Linked DNA regions of Cricetulus griseus. The protein of the gene in region 1 interacts with the protein of each later gene in a pairwise test. Links are inferred from orthologs where the notes say so. Each region holds a gene or a part of one and is shown on either strand. Other genes may lie near its edges.

Region 1 (3,429 bases):
CTGAGTTCTGGGGATGAACTTCAGTCTTGAGGCTGGTGTCATGAGTGTTTTTATCCACTTAGACATCTTATCAACTTCTGTGCTAAAATTTAGTATTACAGCTCTTGGTGGAAAATTAACATTGATGCTCTTAGGAAATTGAACACCTAGGTCTAGGTGGGGGGAGGAAAAAGAAAACATGGTTTGTTTTGTCAGCTAGGATATAGAACTATGTAGCTGTTTTTAAAGGTTTTGTTTTAGGACAGCATCTGTGTAGCTGAGGTGCTAAAACTGTGGGCCAAGCTGGTCTTGAACTCTTGCCTGCCTCTGCCTACAGTGATCTTTAGAGTAAAGGCTAGTACTACCCACCTTTGTGGTTGTTTTGTTTTGTTTTGTTTTCGAGACAGGGTTTCTCTGTGTATCTTTGGAGTCTATCCTGGCACTTGGCTCTGGAGACCAGGCTGGCCTCTGCCTCCTGAGTGCTAGGACTAAAGGCGTGCGCCACTAATGTCCGGCAATCCAGCTGTGTTTTCAAAGCTTTTAAAAGAACTCTGTGTCTTAAATGCTAGTTTAGCAGGTCAGCCTGTTTTTTGGTGTTTGCTGCTGTTGTCTGAGACACGTCTCAGTGTAACTCACAACCCTTTATGTAGGGACCTAAACTTAGGTTCTCTGCCAAAGCAGTACACATGCATAACTGTGAACCATCTCTCCAACCCCAAGTGATGATACTTTAAACAAAAATTTGTCCTATTTTGGAATATAACAGACTTATTTTGGAACTTCTAAAGGGTACTTTATTTGCTTGTTTTATTTAGCGTGTTATTAAAAGAGGTGGCTGGAGAGGTGGGTCAGTGGTTAAAGGCATTACTGCTCTTTGAAGGACCCAAGTTGAATTTCCAATCCCCATGTTGGATGACATACAATTGTGTGTAGTTCCAGCTGGAGGGGATCAGCTGCTTCTGGCTTCTGTAGGCACCTGTACTTATATGCACATAAATGAATATTCTTACAATTCAAAACAATAAAACTTTCAAAATCCCCATGTTAATATTAATAACTTTAATTATCTCTTTACTAAGAAATATGGGTAAGGGACTGGAGAGGCTGCTTAGTGGGTAAGAGCATGCGTTCCTGCAGAGGACTTGGCTTTGGTTCCTAGCACCCAAACAGCAGTTTATGATATCTGTAACTCGGAGTTCTAGGGGATCCAGAACCCTCTTCTGACCTTCTTGGGCATCAGGCACTCAGGTGCACACACATACATGGAGACAAAACACTCATACACTTAAAACCTAAAATATTCTGTTTAAGAAGAGAATGAATTATAAATGGAACCATTAGATAAAGCTTACAAGATAGGTAAGAGTAACAAAAAGAAAAAGTGAAGTCAGATAAGAATACAGTGATTTAAATTATCGAAGAAATAGGCTCATTGTAAGAAAAAAATGGCAATTATACACACATTAGTTAACTCTTATTTAAATTCAGAAAACATACACTTTGTTTAGGTCGTTCAGCACCCCCTTTAAGTGGTATGTTTTCCTATTTTGAAATTTAGGGCAGCAGCAATGACTCTGCGCACGGTATTATTGTCATTGCAAGCACTGTTGGCAGCTGCAGAACCAGATGACCCCCAAGATGCAGTAGTAGCAAATCAGGTAAGAAGGAAGTTTTTGAAAGACTTTCTTAGACCTGTGTATATGGATTTTAATATTTGATGTCAGCATATGAACATTCTATATTGGTACTAAATTTGGAAATGGTTTCATTGGATACATGACAGATGCTTTTCCCTTATGTATGATTGAATTCCATAGTGAGCACCTGTGTAGATTCTACAGTTAGCATTTACCACATGCACTTTATCATTTGTGCACTTTTGTAACCCTCTTTCTATACCTTACTGGCTTCTTCCTGGTGGTGATCATAATAACCTCCCACCACAGAAGTGGAGCTGATGGTAGTGGCATTGCAATGGTTTTCATGGGTGTTGAATGGAGAACTTTTTCCTTTTCTTTAATGCCTCTAAGGGTAAGGTAAGGTACATTCACACTGGCTGGTTTGGGCAATCTCATTTTATAGGAACAGAGTCATAACCATGTGTTTATTTTGATATCCAGTCACACTGTCTGTGGTTTGAAAGGTTTAAATTGTTAAAATCTATGTTTTAGTTCACCAACCTCTACTTTAAAGTATTCTGATTTACTGAGCATTTTTATTGTTAAACATCTCTCAATTTATGAAATACTTTCCTCTTCTCTCCCTATTTTTAAAGTTGATTCCCTGTCTCTGTCTCTCTAAGACATGGTTTATCTGTGTAACAGTCCTCCTGGCTGGCTGTTCTTGAAAATACAAAGATCCACTTGCCTCTGCCTTTTTGGCCATTGTTGTTCACTTTTTTTTTTTTTTTTTCCTTCCTTTTCGAGACAGGGTTTCTCTGTGTAGCTTTGAAGCCTATCCTGGCACTCGCTCTGGAGACCAGGCTGGCCTCGAACTCAGAGATCTCCCTGCCTCTGCCTCCTGAGTGCTGGTACTAAAGGCGTGCGCCACCAGTGCCCGGCCTGTTAATCACTTTTAATGAGAGCTATTGGCTCCTACTGTAGTTCCCCTTCCATTGTATGCACTCCCTGGATGATCAAAGCACCGTGCTTGACCTCTGAACCCCAGATCCTGCCTGTGTGGAGGTGTACTCTAATCCCAGCCATTGGCAGGCAGACACAGGTGGACCTCTGTGAGTTCATGGTCAGCCTGCTGTACTAAGTAAATTCCAGACCAGACAGAGTTAAAAAGTAAGACCCTGTTTCAAAACTAACAACCCAAATCAACTGTTATTCACTCATGACCTAACACTTACATTTCAGAGGTTTTCCATGATTTAAGCTATTGAACATGTTTTAACTCATAATGTTATTCGAATTCATGAATTTTTGGGATTGTAATCATTTTAATTTTTATACTGTTTTCCTTGTTTCTCCTTTGGGAAACATTTCTTATCGAATATCCTTATATTTTTTAGAACTGTCCCTGTGTATGTGTGCTTGCGAACATACTTGCTTGATGTCTAAGCGTGGGCATAGGTACCTCACAGCAGCCATGTTACCTAAGTTTCAGGCTTCAAACTGTTCTTGTATTTGTTTTTTTCCTTTGAGATAGGGTTTCTCTTTGTAGCTCAAATTGTCCTGGAACTTGCTTTGTAGATCAGGCTGGCCTCAAAGTCACAGATCCACCTATTTCTGACTCCTGAGTGTTGGGATTAAAGGTGTATGCCACCACTGCCAGGCTTTTAGTTATCAAATTCAACTTGTCAGGCTTATGCGGTGTCCTTAGCTGCTGAACTATCTTCCCGGCCCAAATTTCTTTATCCTTAAGTTCTTTAAGAACAAAACAAAAGGACTTATTTTTAAAATTATATATATATGTGTGTCTTTGGGTATGAGCATTTGAGTGCCA
Region 2 (3,752 bases), on another chromosome or scaffold:
GAGCCAAGCAAGGGGGTGCAAGCCTGGATTCTTTCCACAAAGTCCCTTCCTTTTGACTGTAGCAGGAACTGACACCTGGAGAAGAAATCTCAGGAGGCAGGACTGGACTCTTAGAACCCCACTGTCATATTCAAGCCCCGGAAGCCATGCCTTCTGTTCCCGTGCAACCCATTATGCCCTATGGCAGATAGTCATGGCTATATTCCCTAGGGAGACCTGGGAAAGCTATCAGGAGATGGGCTCTGAGCACTTAGAAAAGGATAGCAATGGGAGAATGACCATTGTAGCAGCCCCTCCAGAGAGAGCTCCATGAAGAGTGGGGTTGTCTGCTACCCTCGAGAGATCCTGATGTTCTGGGACTGTGGGAGATGGGAAGGCTGAACAGAATTCTTTAGGGCCCTTTTCACTGATGGGACCTGCATCAGTCCACCTGGTCCTTACCTGGGGAACCATCGGGCATGCTCTGTCCAAGGGTCATCCCCATGCTCCCAGCTCTGCAGACCCCCATAGCAGAAGAAACATCTCACCTTGTCCTGCTGGCCTGGGTATGGCAGAGACACATGGCTAGTAACTCCACCTAGCTGGCATCCCCAGAGTGTCCCTCCATGGCCATCAGAGCTTGGACAGGCAGGGCTGGGATCTACCAGCAGGTTGACAAGGAGGGAGCAAGGCACACATGGGCATCTCTCTTGTCTCAAAGACAAATGAAGACAATGCCTGGGTCATGTGTCAGGAGGGCCCTAGAGTATTCTGGAAAGCTGAGCTAGCATTTATGTTGCTCTCAGGGCATGGGGGTAGGGTAGGGCCAAAGGCTTAGAGCATCTGTAGCCTGGGAAATTCGGGGCATCCAAAAAGGACTCCTAGTGACAGGATAAGGAGGTGACCCCTCCCACACTGGTTTATAATTAGGCTTGGTTTTAGTGGTTCAGGCCTTCCTCATCTCTGCTCTCTGCCCCTCCTCCAACCATGGGGAGATGTGTCCTTCATGACCTTGTGCAGAAATTATAAACAGGACTTACAGGCATCTCCCACAGCAGGCACCCACAATCCACAAAATCCCCCTAACATATGTTGGCCCCAGGAACATTTCTTTTCAAGGAGGCTCTAACTGTCCCAGCCATTAACCCTTCCTGACCAGTGTCCAGTTGCCCTATATCAGTTTGGGCTCTTGCCTGACCAGTGCAAGGAAAATAAATAATTCCTCCCTTGCTAGCCTCATCGGAGATAGTTTCTCTGGCTATGCTCCTACTTACAAAGCCTCTCCGTGGGTCTCCCTGCCTCTTTTTCCTCAACCAGAAAGAGAAAAAGCTGGAACCTGACCCCTACCGTGAGTGAGGAGCAGCCCAAACTAAAGTTGTCTGTTTGTAACTAAAACAGCTACTCAAAGGATTTCCCTGCACTAGCCTGGTACATGGGAAGCCTGGAGGATTACCTACAGGGGTACAAATCAGGGGATGTTTAAGCTAACCACTGCATCCATAGGTACATGTTCCTCCATTTGTCCTGGAATGAAAGGGGATAATCACCTCTATAACCAAGCCTGCAAGGCTCCCAGATAGCAGTGGAGATCCCTGAAGTAGTATGGGGAATCCACAGAACCATCTAATTCAGGTGAAACCACCTGCTGAGTGGCCTTCTGGACAAGGCCACCACAAGCCCATGATCTCATAGTGGCTTTTGACTACATTAGATCCCAAGCCCTGGCCAGGCAGAAATAACAGGACTACCTTTCATCAGCTCCTCCCTCAGGGCAGGAATGGACAGAACTCTCAGCCTGGAAGAGTGCTAATTAGCCTCCAGACCACAGCAGAAAGACCCCAAGACTTACCTGTATGGAAGAAGCCAGCAGCAGCCAATGGTTCTGGCTGAATCCCAGCAGTGGATGGCCAGTCGAAGAAGGAAGCCAGGCGGAGATCCTCTGAATCCATCTCAGGGAAGGCGGGCTCCCCAAGGAAGGTAGCTCCAGTGGATTCTTCCTCTTCTGACAGGGGGCGCAACTGGCCCAAGATCTGCCCATCTAGGCAGTCCTGACCCGAGACATGGCTCCGTCTGCGGTGGGATCTGTACTGCTCCTGGGTGAGGCTGTTGCTATCTTCCCTGTGACTAAGTTCTGGGCTACAGAATAAGTCCCTGGCCCTACCCTCAGGCCCCATGGAGAGAACAGCAGCTCTGAGCAAGTCTTCAGGAGAGAACATCACCAAGCCTGGAATGTGCCTGGTGACTTACCTCCAGCTCCTGACTCTAGCAGCCCTTTCTAGAAGCTGTGGTGACCCCTGCTCCTAACTACAGGCAGACACCACTAGATGCTCAGATGTGGTAGTGTGTCCAGGGATGTGCCACTTTCTGAAAGAGGCCAGAGTGGTGGCCACGTGCTCTCTGCAGTGAATGTGTCATGGGGCCTCCTGGCAGGCGCCTAACAAAGGCGGTACTCCACTGTGCTGAAAGCATCTCTAAATAGGAGGAGGGGCAGAGCTTGGGGATCCCTCTAACAGCATCCTCTAAGCCTCTGGAAGCAAATCATAGGTACTGACAAAAAAATGGGGGGGGGGCGGAATCCAGCTATTCAGGGTTCAGTTCTGGGTAGAGATAGATAAATCCAGACAGGGGCCTGCAAGGTAGAAAGCTAGATTGTCCAGGACAGTATGCAACCCCAACCACATTCCTTCCATATCAAGCCTGTCCTGATGTTCAAGGATGATATCACCTGCTTATCCCTGTCCCTAGCATGTAGGCAATCCCTGTTTGGCTCAGCCCTGGGTCAGAGTCAGCCTGCCTATCCTAACTGGTCTCAGGCTGCCCTCTTTCTATCTGGACAGGCTAGAGTCAAATCAAGGGTGGGGCATGGTCTGGGAGGAGCTCAAGTTTTAGATTGTGTTTGCTCCAGGCCAGCACAGGTCTCTATCTGCACTGTTACAGGGGATACTGCCTCCCTAAGTGAGCTCTGCCTCAGGACTGGTTCCAGGCACCTGGTCTCCACTAACAAGCCCCAGGTGAGGGACTCCATTGTCACAGACCTAACAGAACAGAGAGGAGAGGCATAACCCCAGAGAGGCCATAGCTACAGGTTAGTAAAACAAAAGTCCTCAAGACTACTGGAAGGGGCAGAGAAGAAGACCAAGGAGCCAGCTCTGCCCAAGCTGGCACTGTACCCAGATAGCCGCACAAACTCCTCACCTGTAAGTAGCTCTTCACGCTGGTGAAACATTTAACATGGTGAGCACTCAGGAGTCAGAGGCAGGCAAATCTCTAAGCTGGAGGCCAGCCTCATCTACAGAATGAGTTCCAGGACATCCAGGGCTACACAGAGAAACACAGTTGGAAGGAAGGAAGGAAGGAAGGAAGGAAGGAAGGAAGGAAGGAAGGAAGGAAGGAGGAAGGAAGGAAGGAAGGAAGGAAGGCAGACTCCAGACAGTTCTTTTTGGTCATACTCACCCCTACTTCTCCCCCTACCTCCTTCCATGTCCATCCCTGTCTTTCCACTCCCATCCCAACTTCATCTCCTCTTTTTATTTATTTTTAAATGTTTACCCACTGAGTCCAGTTTGTGTTGTCCCTATATTCGTGGGTGTGGCAACATCCACTGAAACATGGCCAACCTACCAGGAGCCACCAACCGTGGCTTCTCCCAGAAGCTGTCAACTGTCAATAGTCCCTCAGTCAGGAGTAGATATTGAGCCACATGGCGAGGGGTTGGGACTTGAGAGATATTGTGAGGTGGGCATGGCGGCTCATGCATGCCATCCTAACACTCA
Region 3 (3,652 bases), on another chromosome or scaffold:
CTCCTAATATCTGGTTCCTCTGAGGCCTTTGTCCCCTCCACTCCCTGAAAGGACATTAAAGTCAGATACTTTCCTTTCCTGAGGGATTTATTTCCCTGAGGCTCCCACCGACCCCATCATAGAATCCACGACCTTTATCTTTCCTACGTTAAGTGAGCACTTTTGATAGAGCTCCACTCCAGGTTTTAAAGGGAAGCCTGTCATTCCCCACAAGGCTCCACTCATACTATCTCTGACACAGTGTGCTGTTCTCTCTAATGACCTTTACTACTTTTTATTGCCTTCTGGAACAAATCCACCAACTGCTACTCTTCTTCACCTAACCCAGAAGTTCTCAACCTGTGTGGCTAGATCCCTCTTGTGGGCGGGTTCCACTGACTCTTTCACAGGGGCCACCCGAGACTATGGAAAATATTAGATATTTTCATTCCAAGTTATAAGAGTATCAGATTTACAGTTATGATGTAGCAATGAAAATAATTTTATGGTGTGGGGGGTGGGTCACCACAACATAAGGAACTATATTAAAGGCTAGCAGCATTAGGAAGGTTGAGAACTGAAACCCCTCCTGTAATTCAGGACACTGAGGTAAGAGGACTGCTGCTAGTCCAAAGCTGACATGAGCAAAGATCAAGACACTGTCTCAAACAGCTGGGCACAGTGTCTCACACGTGTAATTCTAGCACTCCAGAGGTAGGAGGGTTCCCTAGATCACTAGAGTTCAAGGTCAGCTAGGACACACACACCCATACAAGCACACGGCACACACACACACAGGCACACGCACACAGGCACACACATATATAGAGGCATGTTCACACACAGAAACACACATGCAAACAGAGGCATGTTCACACACAGAAACACACATGCATACAAAGGCATGTTCACACAACAGGCAGAAGAGAGAAAGGACGGAAAACTGGGGTGTCCTCACTCTGCTTCTAGCTGAGTCTGAACCCCTTCTTTGGCACCTGTGACTCTGGCAAGCTCTGATAAGTTCTCTCTTTCTCTTCCAGGGCATCATAGACAACTTGAGCAGGTATGATGGGCGTCCCAGTGTACCATGCTTTCTGGTTCACTTGCACATACAACATTCAGCCTATTTCCAAATATGTTCACATCCCCCAATAACTCTGCTATAAATGACTTAGGCTGCAGATGGGGAAGACCAAACTGGCCACAGCAGCACAGTAGCTTTTTTTATTTTCACCATATTCCCATCCTGGCCTCCTGACACTCAGCTTCCTGGCTCTACCCCAGAAACCACCTCCCAGACCCTTGCTGCCCACTCTCTGTCCCCTGAACTCACCACTCAGATCAACATTATCTTCACAGGAGTGTGGAATTTAAGTTTCTCAATCCAACCCCAGTTCCTGAGGACCTGGAGAGAAAAACCAGGGAAGCAATAGCAAGACATGCAGTCATCATAAAAAGCCTGGAGGGATTAAAAGGTGAGGTGTAGCTGCCACTGCCTGTGCTTATCTGCCTCAGGATTCTTTCCATCACCCCAGACGCTGCCTGAACTCTCTTGGTGCTAGCCCCTAAGCCTGTCAGAAGCTAAGCTGAAAGCTGGGCAGTTTCAAAGCATCATTATCCAGAAATTTCTCATGCTACAGCCCCAAAGCCAAAGCACTTCTTCTCTGGGAATTTTTCCTTGATTACTAGGTGGTGAACATGGGGCTAGAAGCATGTTTCCAATTTGTTAGCTGCTGGCCACATGTACCCCTGGGCACCAGAATTACAGCATTCACACATAGTGCAGGTAAAGAATAAACATTGACTCTGAAAGGCTTAATATTAAAATAGAACATAAGATATAATAATGAAAACAAAAGCAAACGGAAGTACTGTCCAGGGTAGTCTCTTATGGAAGAGTTCAATGGCCTTCCCATTTGAGCCTTCTAAGCATCTGGGACTCCAGCACCCAGCACTGTGCCTGGTAGCAGTAAGCCTTTATCCTACAAGCTGAAATGACAGTGTTTCTTAACATTCTGAGCTGAAGAAAACACTATTTAAATTCATTTCTTTTTTAAAGTTCTATTTATTTTATTTGTATGGGTGTTGTGTATGCATGTATCATGTGCTTGTCTGGTGCCCATGGATGTCAGAAGAGGTTGTCAGACTCCCTGGGGTTGGAGTTCCAGTGGGTGCTGGTAGTCGGACTGGGTCCACTGGTGCTTTTAACTACTGAGGCCTCTCTCCAGCCCCCTTTTTCTTTCCTTTTGAGACACTGTGTAAATATCCCAGACTCTGAAACTCGCTACATACCGTGGACTAGCCCAAAAGTTGTCATCCTCCTGCATCAGCTTCCTGGGTGTCAGCATCTTTTAGGATTGCAAAATGGTATCTAGAAAATTCAAAATTCAGTGGCTCGTGTTTGTGGCTCTTAATACCTTTGTTCTGGACTGAGCTGTACTGGACAACCACCTCAGGGAGACCCTAGGGCAGCTCTCCCTGTTTGGCTGCCTTCTTGGTCCACTGAGACTATGAGAGGAACACCAATATCACTTCTCCCTGCCCATATCAGCAATCAGGGATTCACTGTGTGGTCCTGGTTGCCTCTATATCCTTCACCCTCTCCTCGTAGACAACCTGAAGACTGAAGGGAAGAAAGATAAAAGCGCGTTCCTGGACAGCCTGAGTAAACAGGAGATGGAAAGATGTAAGTGTGTGCTAACCCTGCTGTTTGGGGAAAGTGAAGAATACAAGAGGAAGAGTTCTCTCTTTAGGGGGAGGACTGAGGGAGGAAGGTCCAGTGTGGGTGAACACCAATAAAGAACAAACTTACAGAATTGTTTTAGATTTTATGTGTAGCCAATCAGAGTGACACCAAACCAAAGACCAGAAAAAGCAAAGCAGCCAGCCACGAGACAGTTCTTATTTCTACCAAGGCTTGGGGCCAAAAGGGGTAATTCTGTCCTCAGCATGACTGCAGACTGAATACACTACACTCCTGTCTCCACCTGTCTTATATTCCTGCCTAGTGCTGGGATTAAAGGCATGGGATCCCAAGTGCTGAGATCACCTTGGTATGAGCTCTGTTTCTCTTTTAGACTGATTCACTCTCATGTAGCCCTTGGTGGCCTTGAACTAACAGAGATCCATCTGCCTCTGCCTCCCGAGTGCTGAGATTAAAGGTGTGGCCACCCTGCTTGTCCTCTACGGCTAACTAGTGGCTTGGGTGTGTGGCTAATTAGTGGCACTTAGTGTGTGTGTGTGTGTGTGTGTGTGTGTGTGTGTGTGTGGCTAACTAGTGGCTTAGCTCTTAACTAGGTGTGTGGCTAACTAGTGGCTTAGCTCTGCACTCTGATCTTCAGGCAAGCTTTATTTGTTAGATTACAGACAATGTATCACTACACAGCAAAACTGAGGAGTGGAGGAGACCCACTGAGACAATATCCTGTAATGATGTCATCTGAGGTGGTTCAGCTATGAGGGTAGCTAGGAAAAAGGTCAGGTTCAGCCTGCCATCCTCAATATGCCTTTTAATTTATAACCTCTTGCTATCAACCTAAAATTTGTTTTCTCTCTCCAATTTCTAGGGCACCTGTTACAGAAGAATAACTCAGACTTGCACAACTCAGGTAGGAATACTGCCTGGCACACTGGTCTTCCTGTAGGGAAGCAAGGGGCCTCCAGGTCTGCAGGT

Evidence for each region.
Region 2: the proteins of Ube2k (region 1) and Birc7 interact in binary tests that used the Homo sapiens proteins (3 or more experiments, as listed by UniProt). The link is inferred for Cricetulus griseus from reciprocal best matches to the Homo sapiens genes UBE2K and BIRC7.
Region 3: the proteins of Ube2k (region 1) and Trim31 interact in binary tests that used the Homo sapiens proteins (3 or more experiments, as listed by UniProt). The link is inferred for Cricetulus griseus from reciprocal best matches to the Homo sapiens genes UBE2K and TRIM31.

Annotation. Positions count from the first base shown.
Region 1 is NW_023276807.1:132,628,288-132,631,716, forward strand, and holds part of Ube2k (ubiquitin-conjugating enzyme E2 K), read left to right. Parts: intron 1-1,537; coding exon 1,538-1,637; intron 1,638-3,429. UniProt on the Homo sapiens protein: Accepts ubiquitin from the E1 complex and catalyzes its covalent attachment to other proteins. In vitro, in the presence or in the absence of BRCA1-BARD1 E3 ubiquitin-protein ligase complex, catalyzes the synthesis of 'Lys-48'-linked polyubiquitin chains.
Region 2 is NC_048599.1:975,641-979,392, forward strand, and holds the start of Birc7 (baculoviral IAP repeat-containing protein 7), read right to left. Parts: upstream 2,261-3,752; 5' UTR 2,196-2,260; coding exon 1,829-2,195; intron 542-1,828; coding exon 442-541; intron 76-441; coding exon 1-75.
Region 3 is NW_023276806.1:228,838,730-228,842,381, reverse strand, and holds part of Trim31 (E3 ubiquitin-protein ligase TRIM31), read left to right. Parts: intron 1-1,019; coding exon 1,020-1,042; intron 1,043-1,338; coding exon 1,339-1,454; intron 1,455-2,590; coding exon 2,591-2,665; intron 2,666-3,545; coding exon 3,546-3,587; intron 3,588-3,652.